Mytilus edulis: one gene and its partner. The main gene of each other region encodes a partner of the protein of the gene in region 2 in a complex. Links are inferred from orthologs where the notes say so. Each region holds a gene or a part of one and is shown on either strand. Other genes may lie near its edges.

Region 1 (6,901 bases), on a different chromosome or scaffold from region 2:
TTGAGTCCTAGTCAACTTTAGATTTTTCAGTCATTGAGTTGCTGTCTCACTGATCGATTCCACATACATTTTTATTCACATATGGTATATTTTGATTGATATTCTACAATAAACATCTATATTACGAAGCTCAATAAAAGTGTCTGAAAGATGAAAGTTAGGTCTGATAGGACAACCAAAATGATGCATAAGTATTTTGTATCATAAGCTTGATAATAGAATTGTAAGATTGGATGTCATGGATATTTTGGTTTATTGCACCAAAATGGTGGTCTGAATTTTTGACTTTATAGCATATGAATACAGTACTGCAACTATTCAAATTACTAAAACTTAATTTTAATTGTTTCTGTCCACCTTTTGCAATTAATTCAAAATTCTGATCCGAAATTGCAGTTTGTTTCATCAAACAAAACTTTTCAACTGGTCAGAACTTCAACCAGTTGCAAATCAGTTACAACCAATTTACTGTAATAGTATGTAATTTTACCTTCTGTATTGGCTTTGTTTCTGTCAAATGTATAACATCTTGCGCATCACTTAATTCTCCTTTTACACATTTACATATTGCTGACATGGTACTGCCATCTATGTCGTCTGCAACAACTACCATTACACTAGTTTCATTATCTGCTAAACCAAACTTCCGAAAAGAATCTGATATCTGTACAAAATAGGACATAATTGAATGAAATCAACTTTAATTACATATCACATAAAAACACACCAAATTGTTTTTAAATTCTTGTTATCCAAGTAATGACATGAGGAGGTAGGATTTTGTATTTCTTAGTTGTATAGTATGTCTGAAAACTTTTACAGATGAACAAACGCTGTAAACAGCAAAAACAATTGGCATTAAGATCAAGAAAAATGTAAGTATAGCTGAAAGCATCATTTGAATCCATATTTGAGGAATAATGAGTTATTGTTTATAAATGGGGTATTTTTTTTAACAAACTGCTGAACAACTTTAGCATTGTGCCTATCTTGTGAACTATATTATAACAGTTCAACAACAATTGTAAACAGCAAAATTGTTCATCAATGCAAGATATACAATTACATTTGTAAGTCCCGATTGGTAATAAGATTTTGTACATAACACTAGTATTTCCTAATTAATTTTTAGATAAATAAAAATATGGTTCAACTACATTTTTCAATGACATAATAATATTATTATGTTAGCCTTTACTTTTGTCTTTTTACTTAAATATGTTTGCATAATTACATTTTTAGTTGGTGATAGACAAAATAAGATTTCTGAATGAACATTCTTTGTAATCATCTTATTCTGTCTGTTCAAATGAATGGCTCTGTTTGCTGCTACAATTACTTGGAAAGGATCGCAAATCTACAAAATAAAAGCAATCTTTTAATACTATAATTATAATGTCTCTGCGTTATATCAATTGATTTTTTTCGGTAAGGATCAGGATCAAGATTTTTTTTTTTTATATGTCATGATAGCTACTGAAAAAAGTGACTTTTAGTCACATTGTATCCCTGCTCGAAAGTTGTATGTAAAAGCCAATATTTATAGTTGGATTTTCTAGAAATGTTAAGTTTGTAACTCTAATGGGCCACAAAGATTGACAAAGTGAGGAAAATAATTATGCTTTGAATTAAGACAAAAGATATCTGCCATGATCTTGGACCTGTTGCTTTCCAAAGAAATTGACAGAACCATATGGTAAAAGGAATTGAAGAAAAAGATACTATTGTGGCCTGCCTACCACAGCATGTGCAACTCATTACAGGAGTTGACCAAAGTGCGTCATGCACTTGATGTTTATCATGATCTTATTATGGCTTGGAGCTTTAGGCTACATATTTACCACAAGCTATAGCAATTGGAAAAGATATTGGCATACAAGGCCAACCCATGGTAAAATCAAGATAAACTTAAGCCTTTACAATATTTTTTTTCAATTATAATAGGACAAAGACAGCAATTCTAGTGATCAAAGCGCTCTATGTTTAATGTTCCTGTACTTGAATATACATGTACTATTATTATAACATTGAAACGAAGAAATTTGAATGATAAGTTGTTTTTAAACACAATAAAATACTAAAAATAGTTTTTCTACATAAGGCAAATGTTAAGGGTGTTTTTCTTAAATTTAATCTCAGATGACATTTCAGCACATAACACAAGAATGTAATCATCTCACATGAATGCTATCAAAGATTGAAGTTTAGATGACATTTCAGCACATAACACAAGAATGTAATCATCTCACATGAATGCTATCAAAGATTGAAGTTTAAAAATATTTGAAAAAAAACCCTGGTGTCTATATGTTACATGAAAGCCACAATAACAGGGTGAATTTGTATAAAGTCAATCAACCTTAATTATTGTAAATGGGAATCTGCAACACTTGAACTTTGTAGCACTTTTCCTTTTTGGAATTAGAAATTTGTAACAGGAACCTTTAAGATGTCCAGTTATTGCGGACAAGGTGTATCGAGCTATATAAGAGGGGCGTAAAAAGGGGAGGTGTATCTTCACAGGAGAACGTGAAATAAAATTGACATTTCACGATACATGAACAATTAAAAATGTCTTGCACGTTGATCTTTTTACCAATTTCACAAAACATGGTGAATAACGAACCTTTTTTTACAGCTGCATGTGAAATAAAAATAGCAAAACATGTTGCAAGAAAATAACCCATAACCACCCTCATATAAACTTCTACTGTAAATATTCCAGAACCTATTCAAATTTATGTTAACTTGCCTGGTTGAAGCCTATGTACTGACAGACACGAAGAAAGTGACTGAATGTGTTAATTTTGAATTCTTACAAGTTAATTACACCCATCTTAAATTCATCTAGCATACCATTGATGGCTTCAATAAAGCTGCTTCAAATGTACCATTCATCACGTTTTGTCTTACTTCTTTGGCATTTTCAACGTTTCTAAAGAGAGCAAGAGAAATAGTCGAATCCATGTAAAACTCATTCTTTAAGACTCGTATTGACATTTTGAAATTAAGAGAAAACGACGTGTTATTCGTCTAAACTTGAAGCAATACAAAAATTCGAGTCAATTTCTACTTTTATTTTTGACAGGAAATGAAAGTTTTTCTTACCTTCAGATGTGGGAGAGCTCCCCGCATGCGTAGAATTCATATTCAACGTGGAATAGAAGAACTTCCTGTCGGGTTAATATAATTTTCAGGAAAAATGCATATGCTTAGGCGTGATAAGAAAGAAGAGGAAGAAGGTAATTTTTAATTACTGACGATATCATCATCATTTACCAATAATTAGGGGACTGAGCCCGGGTTACGGGTAGCTGCGGAACCGTAACTCTAATGGTTCCTTTTTTTTTGAGTTTGCTAACCATAGTTGGGACCATACAGTCAGTGGCGGATCCATAAGGGTTGCACTAATGACAGGACGATTGCCCGGATAGTGACAGGACGGTTGACTGGATGAGATATAAATAGTCATAACTTTTTTGTTATTCAGTAGATTTGTTTAATATTTGTAGACCTTAAAGATATTAAAATATATTTTATGAAAATCAAACAAAATAAGTGAAAAAAAATATTTATAAGCAAATAAAGTTGACCGGACGGTATTCACACTCGCCGTTAAACGCTATACATATATTAAACTGGTCGGCAACAAGTGTTAATATCTCTTTTGTTGGTTACAATATTTGTCACAAAAATTCCGGAATCTGTGAGAATAATAAATATTAGATACGAAAATATAAATTTATAGTAAAAAAAAATGTTTTTCTCCATAAAAAGTTGACCGGACGGTATTCACATTCGCCAATATATGCTTTAAATATATTGAAATGATCAACACAAATGTTAATATCTCTTTTGTTTTACAATATTCGTTCATGAAATTCTGGAATCTATGAGATTTATAAATATTTTATACGAAAATATAAACTTTATGATAAACAAAAATGTTTTTCTGCCAAAAAAAATAATTGGACGGTGTTGTGTGTGACATTCGCCGATGTACACGTTGATTATACATGTATGTTAATAAAAAAAAATAATTAAGGATTAACAATATTTAAGCAGCTGATTTAAGTCATGAAACTGGAGAAATCTGCGACATCAATAAATATATGATATGTAAATATAAACTTTCTTGAAAAAAAAATGACCGGACTGAGGTTCCAAGGGTAGGGACATTCAAATAATTGTGCCTCCTAAGAGTCCGCGAAACTCTCAGGATTCACGATTTTGCGTAATATTTGTTCATAGTTTCTGGGTCGGGGTCTTGACGGCCGCCAGATCCCTCACCAAATGGCGAATATATCTTGCCTCACTTTTAAAAGAATCTAGTTAAGCCCCTGGATACAGTAGAAACGAATTCAATAGTAATCAAATTTCGAATGCTTTCGAAGAGAAAATGAAAGACTATAAGGTGATTTTTTTTTATAACTGAATTTAAATATAGTGACAGACTAGTTAGTGACAGTGCAGTATTATACTAAAGTAACTTTGTGTTCGATGCCCGTGCAAGGTAATCTGTGTCTTTTATTTTCTATCATAAAGGGTCAGAACACGACTTAATACAAGTTTACTCCTTCAATGTTATAGGTCTTATTGCAATACATTGTTGTTATTTTTTCAAATGATTTGATACCAGGAGATTGGTGATCTCACTTTAATTTAATCCATGTCAGACAGCTATCTAGTTTTATCTGAGATTTTGTATTGTTTAATAAAACGTGCATGCAATTCACTGTAATCTTTGATTGGATTCTAATTGCCAACTTGATTATATAAGTTAATTCAATTAATGTCTCAGGTGTGAAAACTTAAATGACATGATTATTGGCTTGATTGGTGATTACGACAGGTGTCAAAATTAGATAGTAATCTTAATTAAATAATAAATATTTTAAATATCAGGTCTTCTAGTGTGCTGGTGAACTTACTCAGGTCAACATTTTGGGCTCAAAGTTTTTATTATAAAGTGTATATTTATAGAGTTCACAGATTCCTTAATTTCATGGATAGATATTTAACATGTGTCGATCAGTACAATATATTTAAAGCATATATGGGCAAATGTGAATTCCGTCTGGTCAACTTTATTTGCTCAAAAATATTTTTTTTACTATAAATTTAATATTTTCTTATAACATATTTATAAATCTCCAAAATTTCTTAATTTCATCAGAGACATTATATGTCTCTGATTTCATGGACAAATATGGTAAAACAAAAGAGATATTAACATTTTTGTCGATCATTTCAATATATTTAAAGCATATATATCGGCGAATGTGAATTCCGTCTGGTCAACTTTTTTTGAAGAAAAACATTTTTATGTACTATAAAGTTTATATTTTCATATCAAGTATTTATTGATCTCTTAGATTTCTTAGTTTGGTGTAAAAATATTGTAAAACAAATAAGACATAACACTTTTTTTTATCAGTTCAATATAATTAACGCGTACATCGGCGAATGTGAATACCGTCCGGTCAACTTTTTATGGAGAAAAACATTTTTTTTTATTTTTTTACTTTGAAATTTATATTTTCGTATCTAATATTTATTATTCTCACAGATTCCGGAATTTTGTTGACAAATATTGTAAAACAAAAGAGATATTAACACTTGTTGCCGACCAGTTGAATATATGTATAGCGTTTAACGGCGAGTGTGAATACCGTCCGGTCAACTTTATATACTCAAAAATATTTTTTTCACTTTTTTTGTTTGATTTTCATAAAATATATTTTAATATCTTTAAGGTCTACAAATATTAAACAAATCTACTGAATAACAAAAAAGTTATGACTATTTATATCTCGTCCGGTCAACCGTCCTGTCACTATCCGGGCAATCGTCCTGTCATTAGTGCTTCCCGATCCATAACTTTTCCTAAGGGGAGGCCCGCTGACTGACCTAAGGGGGGCCCCGCTCCAGTCATGCTTCAATGATTCCCTATATAATCAACCTAATTTTTCCCACGAAAAGGGGGGGGGCTGCCCCCCCTCCTGGATCCGCCTATGGCAGTGGCTGATCAAGAACTTTTCCTAAAGGGGGGGGGGGGCTCCAGTCACGCTTCAGTGATTCCCTATATAAGCAACCAAATTTTTTCCCAAAAAGGGGGGCCCCGGGCCCCCCCCCTAAATCCGCCTCTGGGGGCACTGACTGACCTAAGGAGGGGCCCGCTCCAGTCATGCTTCAATGATTCCTTATATAATCAACCAAATTTTTCCAACGAAAGGGGGGGCTGCCCCCCCTTTACCCTGGATCTGTCTATGCCATAGATGTACAACTACAACCACAGGCACTTGTTTGGGAAGGTTGACTATCCATATTACATATCCCTATTCCATGGATAGAAACAAGTGCCTGTTGTACATCAGGTTGGGAACAAACCCTCTATATGGTAATTATACCTGCATAGAGGGATAATCCTTCTATAGAGGGGTAAAATTATCCTTCTATAGAGGGATATTTTTGTTTAGACTGGATTTAAATCAATATAGGGCAGAATGGCATTCTCTACTTATTATGGCTGGAACAGTTGATGCACCAATTGATGTACTTAATTTAATATGCAAATGCCCAGTTTGATGCTTATCTAACTAAATATAAAATCTATTGTTCACCATGATTGAAAGCTGTGATGATCAGGTAAATTCTACTCACTTATGCCCCACTGAACATAATTTCTATTGTTAGATTTAAATGAAATTTAAAGGTCAACTATTCCTTTTGTTGTTGATCAGGTGTTCAGATAGGTTTACAATAGATTGCAAGTTTTGTCACTTTAGCAGAAAACTGGTTATCCCAATTTTTAGTAAAGTACATATGTTGATGCATATAATGCTAGAGATTATAGCCAATATAACTAGAAAATGTCATTCTGCCCTAATTTGCTTTAAAT
Region 2 (7,271 bases):
TTTTATATTTTTTTGTTGCTGTCTCATTGAAGTATTTCCCACATCTCCTTTGATTCATTGGTATGTAATTTTGTATTTATATGATAAATAGTGATCATGAAGTTGAAGTCTATATGCAGTTAAGGATACGTCCAATACAGTGATTTACTCCTATGATTGGCTTCTGCCATAACTGTGCTACTGTCCTCGCTACTATGGCAACAGATACTAATGGGGCACCCATTCCTGGACCTGTAAAAAACAATAAAATGCAAAATGCAAAATACACAATTAAAATTTCAATTTTATTTGACGAACAACAATTATCTTTATATATGACAATGACCCAGAATATCAAGTTATGGAAAAAACAATTAGGTCAAACCGAAAAATAAATTGGCAAAATCATGATATGTTAGTTAATAAAAAAATAATCTCAGACTGACCTTTTGTATAACACACCACATCAATGTGTTTTGGATCTATTTTAGCCTCATCAAGTGCTTCCTTTAATACAACTAGAACATTAGCTCGATGATGGTTAGCTGTGTCTCTGGGCAAAAAACCTGTAATCCCAAAAGGACAGTTTTATACTACATGTAGTACTAAAAGGATCTTAATTTAATATTTCAGTTTTTCTGTTTTAAACTTCTTTTATTATAAATGTAATACATTGTAATTCAAAGACTTTTATATATGGATGCAGGTTCTCATAGAATAATTAATATCAGGTATATTGGCAATTCAAAAAGTATATGACGAAAACACCAAACTGTACCTAACTTCCAATATCATGAAAATTTACTTTGACCTATACTTTTACAAGTTGTGACTTGGATGGAGAGTTGTCTCATTTTCACTTATAACATATCTTCTTTATATCCAAATACAAATTGCTCATATTTTGCTATTAATAGACTTTTTTCATATAACTGGACTTTTGACTCAAGATTAAATTTCCACAGGTCCCTTCTCTGTGATCATGGTGATAAGAAATCATGAAAAAGAAGAAAAATCAAACATATAATCTGTGCAATTTAAAGAGAAATTTTGCTGTTTTCACATGATTTTGTCATTTATAGACAACAAGAAACAGTAAATTTACTGATTTGAAGCTTGATTTTACTTATTGAAGTTGCTCTTACTTGACTGAATACCAGGATTTTCTACAACAGACAAAATGACAGATTAAGTAACCTGTCAATAAAATATAAACCTCAGAGTCAAAAGTCTGTAATATGAAATAGTTTATTGGCAAGTACTTATTTCAAAACCATGAATATCAAATTTTAAGTTTTTACATACCTTGGCCTGGTGGAGTTATATAGGTACGTCTTGGATTTGATAACACTTTTCCATCTTGTATTATACCAATTCCAATCTTATTGGCACTTCCTTCAAAGCCAATTGCTATTACCATTTCTATTTACAAGACAAGAACAAGAATATATTGATTGTGACCAGAAACAAGTATTCTTAAATCAAATATCCTTTATTTTTAATAGACAAAAAATCTGGTATAATGTTAAGTAATTGTTGATCCTGAAGATATAGACAATTAAAAATTTGGCTGGAAATGATTTCTAGATTTTTTTCATACATTTAACATTGGCATCTTTTTTCTTTAAAAAGTTATGAAAAATTAATATCAAAGGATTTTTTTTAAAGATTTTAGTCTTCAACAATGAGCAAAACCTATAAAGGATAGTCAGCTATAAAAGGCCCAGAAATGTCAAATAACAGGCTATTATTTGAACTTGGAATTATTATCAAATATCAATTATGGAATTTACATAATTTCTTTATTTGTTGTATTTTTTTTAATAAATTCCATGTTTATTCTATACTTTAATGTTCTGTGCTGTGCACAACACTTTCTATTACAAAGAAGATAGTACATTTTCAATAGAATGTACTGTGCCGTGCACAACACTATCTATACAAAATACATTGTATGGAAAGTGTTATGAACAGCACAAAACATTATAATACCAAATAAATATGGAATGAATTAAAAATTTCAAGTCTGTACACATATAAGTTTAAAGAGAAAATACACCCATATTTGTCCATTTGTTATGATGAACCTTATAAAAAAATTATGCAATTTTAAGGCTATAAAAGTGTGTCTCTCATCTATAATTTAGGTGTTCTATGGTATTCACCAGTGTAAAATGTGTTAAAACTGCATGGTCTAAACAAACAAAAGTCAATACATCTGTCAGCTATATAAGTGAGCAAATTGGATAAAATTCTAAATGCAAAAAATAGATTTAATTCAATTAAGGGGGTTCGCGGGTCTAAATCATTTATATAGGATTTCTCAATATTTTACTATAAATGAACTTTATCTTATAGTTAAGAGAAAAATAAAATAAAAAAATGGGGTCACCGTTCATTTGCACTCACAATCTGCCTTCGAAAGAAGCATACATCTTTGTAAAAGTGTTTTTTTCCTGTTGAACTAATAAGAGAAATAAAGGTAATATCGAAATAAAAAAAGAAATTCATTACAGAAATTGCTCAAATTTTACAATAATTTAGTTTAAGTAAAGCATATATAGAAATCATATTAAAAAATATAGGTCACCGATGAGTTAAAAGAGATATTTCAATTTTAAAGCCAAAAAATGGCATTTTTCCACCAAAGGGAGATAATTTGGAACTTTTTAGATGATGTTTACATTTTAAAAGTCATCTGGGGCCAACACGAATTAATTTTTTTAATTTTTTTTTTGTACCATATGATAAAGTAACAACTACAAATGGTAATAAATAAAATTTGTAATGAAAAACAAATGTTTATTTTTTTTCTGAAATTTTTATACCCTCGAGCCTCCTTAACTGCTTAAATTTACCTGCTTTAAGAAAACACACTGATAGCAATATGAGATATGGTTTTTAGTTTGTTGTTGATTAGTTTTTATTGGGAATATGTCTCTGGTTCATATCATAACTCCCATTCATGAGGGCTGCTGAGAAATTCTACTTTCAGTTTGTACTTTCGCTTTGTATTTTATAGTAACTGGAGTTTGATCCCGTACAGGTCATTCTTTTAACTATTATGAACCTAATTAAAATGGCTAGAATATTATACAGAAATTTTAATTTAGAACGAAGATTTTTTTTTTAAATTTTGTAAATCAATAGTCAATCTAATGTGTGCAAACTTTTTGTGATTTCTTTATTTTTATACAAAATTGTTCTTTCTTTTAGCAAATGTATACTAAAACTCGAAACGGAGACGGACTAGTATCCGATTTTACTGTGTTAGAGAAGCTTGGGGTAGATTTAAAATTAGGTATTTTAAATGTATCATAGACTTTGTGTATCATTCCTAGTTTGTAAATTATCACACATGAAATGAAAATTAGAAAAATGCTCTCAAGTTCAGAATCACAAACATGACATGCATGATGATAAGTTGAACAAACTATGAAAAGAAAATACAAAATTTTTACAGGAATAAGATCTCTTTACTGACTTTAGTGATTATTGAATTGTACGGTCTGCAACATGGAGCCTTGGCTCACACCAGAAAGCAAGCTGTTAAGGTCCCCAAAAATGACTAGTGTAAACCATTCACACGTGAAAAAGAACGGTCTAATTTATATTAAACAGGTTGGGAATAACTCTAATTGTGGTACTACATGTATATCCCAATTGGGGTATTATATCCTAATTGACTTATCTATGCATACCCTAATTGGCATATCAAACCACTCTTTCCCAGTTCTCAGACTCTCAAATGAAATTTCGCACTTTTTATAAACAACCCCAGTATTTAAGTTCATGAACTGTGTCAAATGATGTATAACAGGATTATGCTGACACAAGCTGCATTTTGTGCGTGCATATCATTTTAATTGCAATTTTAACAACATGGGACTATATAACGGCATTTTACTTGAATAAAATCATATCCCAAACTAAGGACAGATGCAAACATACATGTATGCTGTGGTTTTAAACATTTTAATAGGTTCCAACCTTCACCCTTATCTGAAACAATATTGTAACAAAAATTATACTAGTACATGTAGTATATTGGTATGTTATCGGTCGTCCCACTGTCTATATCACTCTGCTCAGTTCTTAATAAAATTGCATATTACGGCTTTGTGACGTCCAATATGTTGACCCGGACATATCAGTGACGTCATAATGCTTGAACCAACGTTGATAAGTTTGACCCGAACTTATCAGATCATCTTCTGGTTGCTGGTGTAGCTAAGAAAGCACTTCCAAAAGACCCAAATACAGCCTAATAAATCGATTATCAGGTTATTAGCATATTGATATTGTAAAATATAAGCTGCTCGACACAATATGAAGGCATTTTGATCTCGTTCCCTGTGCCTGTTTGACAAAAAGCTGTATATTGTGACTTGAAGCTGATATTTTACAATATCAACATGCAGACAACCTCATAATCGGTATGTCTTGGAAGTGTACTTCTTCATCTGTACCTATTTACTTCCAATTTTTAGACAGCATTAACAGTTCCAGCCAAGATTGATCAGCTCAGAGTCTGAATAGTGTGTCCGGGTTAGGTGACATATCTTCCTGTGGACTGTTTCCTTGTGTACTACAAATCTACATGTTAATAAAATTGTGTAGTGTGTCCATCTTGTACAAAGCAGACTAATATTCTTAGTTTTTAAAAATATTTATTTATATTGGATTGGGAAACAAGTTATTGCAACCTTTATTAATCCCTTTCCGTATTTCATTTACATGATCTCGTTCTAGTTCCAAATATGCATATTAATTTGCCACTGGACGTTAAGCAGCCATCCATCACAATCATTATCCAATTATTTAACACCTTTTCACTGAAATAATTTGCAGAATGAAGAATTATAAAAGTTTCTATTATATATGTAAGACTCAGATCAAATTGTTCATTCCTCAATTCAATGTCCAAATATGAATTCATAATAAATGAAAAATACAAATCAACTGCCTATATGACATGTATGATCTCTTATTAATGTCTTTTTGTCATTCTCAAATCTACGTTTAATATTTGGCTTCTCTAATCAATGTCCTTTTTACCAACTTGCTGCAATGATTTCACAATTTTATTTAAAGAAAATATTACTCATTGTTGAAGGCCTTACTGTGACCTATAGTTGTTAATTTCTGTGTCTTTAAAATTTGGTCTCTTGTGGAGAGTTGTCTCATTGGCAATCATACCACATCTTCTTTTTTATAATTACTGTCATACTCCTGATTTCGTAAAGACATATTATTCCAAACTCAAATGATCGTTGAACCTAAATACTCTAATGTTAAAAAAATCCAAATGATAATACTTTCAATATTTGATTTTATTTTTCTATATTCTGTCTACTGTAAATTCAGAAATTATTGCGATGTTTTTATTATTGCAAAAAATTCCACGGAGTTATAATCGCAATAATTTAAACTCGCATATTTGAATATTTTATATGATTTAAACAGGATAATTTATAATATCGCAAAAATTAAATCGCATTTTAGTTTAAATTACGAAATCACAATAATAAATGCACGCAATATTTTTAAATTTCTGAATTTCCAGTATTGTTTGACACTGTATAGTATTGCCCCTAGATGTCTTTACGTTATCTTTGTATTTGGATTCTGTTACATTGTCTTATATCCACATGTAATTTATTTATATGAAAGGAATAAAGCAACATTGATCTAGTTGGTTAACTTTTATTTATTTGAGATTGTGATTTCACATTCAATTAAAAGATACAGACATCCATCTAAGTCTAACAAATATGTATTTATATATATATATATACTAAATTCCATTGTCCACAGATTAAAATCTAAAAAACCAATTTGCCTTTATACAAGAAAAAGCAGGACACCCCTGTCTCTACCTTCTGCATATGCACATTACAGTTCATATAATTTATTGCTCTGTACACATATTGGTTTTTTACAGTAATTATGACAAATTTATGCTTTCTGTAAAACACAAGTCCTCTGCAAGTAATGCTCTGCAAACCAACTTTTTTACTAGGAGTTTGGTTATAGGGAAGTAAAAATTATGTGAACAATTATATAGTTTGCCATCTCATGTCAAATCTACTTTTCTTGTACTAAGCTAGGACTATAATACATTATGTATAAGCCCCTGTTATAAGATATTTATCAACAAGTATAAAATATGAATAAAAATAGTTTTGGAGTTATTGAACTTGAAGATAATATATACAACATGGAGGATGCAGGAATACTGTTCTTTTATTGCTTTTCAGTCTGTCTGAAAGGACATTTTCCATTGCAGAGTGATATATACCACAGGATGAAATGATTTTATCAGAAGAGTTGACATAAATGGATAGAGACAAGGATAAAGATTCAATTCAGTGTAAGAATAAATCCATATTTACCTTTTTTTTCTTATTTGATCGTTTCAGTTACATTGTGAAAATATTTTAAATGGAAAGGGGAAATAAGTCTAACCTATATAAGTGACACATGAACGATTTTTTGGAGATGAGTTTCTTGTATAATACAGATCATCTTGAAAATTAATATTTACAGATTCAGATATCACAATTAACCCCAAAAAAAAGAAAGAATAAAATGGCACTTTAATTAAAACTAAATTCTTGAATTGCTCCCATTCAGCTACATTGTCGCACACCTTGATGTGTGACATATCAGAACAGGAGCAATTAAAGGATTTGATTTTAATTAAATTTTGCACAAGGGGAACTCTAAGAAGCACTATCACTGTTTATAGGTTTCCAATACTTGTTAATTCTGTGATTATTTTTATTCTATTTAAAAGAAGATATAATTTTAGGTTTTTATTGTAAGAAGAATGGACACAAGAAAGACAAATGCCCTGAAAAAGGAAAACAGATAGAACCTCCACAAGTTCACCAAAGACTGAAATGGGTGAGTTTAAGGACTTAGGTGGTACCTAACACTACAGGAAGATAACTCTGTAAAATCAGCTGAACGTTTTAATTAAGTTGCGTTGTTAAGAGAATTTTATGCTTCTCAATGATCAAAATTAGTGTTTGTCAAACTGCTATATAACCAGTGTATTTCTTTCTAATAAAATGGTTGGTTCAAATTTTTTGAAATTTTTATATTTTTGTCAAAGGGTCAAAGTGAATACTTTGTCAAAATTTAATGAAAATTAAACGAGCCAAATTGATTTTAGTGAAAGTGTTAGGTACCACCTTAAGTTAAATTTCTAAGCATTGGTACCCTGTTAAAAATCTCTGTAGACAGTGTAAAAGATTGATGGATCCTAACAATTTCAAACAAAGATT

What was found.
Region 1: probable tRNA N6-adenosine threonylcarbamoyltransferase (region 2) and EKC/KEOPS complex subunit TPRKB-like share a complex: the UniProt entries of both Homo sapiens proteins name them as parts of the EKC/KEOPS complex. The link is inferred for Mytilus edulis from reciprocal best matches to the Homo sapiens genes OSGEP and TPRKB.

What each region holds. Positions count from the first base shown.
Region 1 is NC_092344.1:90,406,051-90,412,951, forward strand, and holds the start of EKC/KEOPS complex subunit TPRKB-like, read right to left. Parts: upstream 3,001-6,901; coding exon 2,857-3,000; intron 1,358-2,856; coding exon 1,235-1,357; intron 665-1,234; coding exon 491-664; intron 1-490. Other genes in the region: coatomer subunit gamma-2-like, read left to right, coding at 3,203-3,242. UniProt on the Homo sapiens protein: Component of the EKC/KEOPS complex that is required for the formation of a threonylcarbamoyl group on adenosine at position 37 (t(6)A37) in tRNAs that read codons beginning with adenine.
Region 2 is NC_092348.1:62,725,643-62,732,913, forward strand, and holds the start of probable tRNA N6-adenosine threonylcarbamoyltransferase, read right to left. Parts: upstream 3,003-7,271; 5' UTR 2,838-3,002; intron 1,402-2,837; 5' UTR 1,400-1,401; coding exon 1,285-1,399; intron 546-1,284; coding exon 426-545; intron 232-425; coding exon 130-231; intron 1-129. Other genes in the region: retinitis pigmentosa 9 protein-like, read left to right, coding at 6,319-6,352, 6,794-6,888. UniProt on the Homo sapiens protein: Component of the EKC/KEOPS complex that is required for the formation of a threonylcarbamoyl group on adenosine at position 37 (t(6)A37) in tRNAs that read codons beginning with adenine.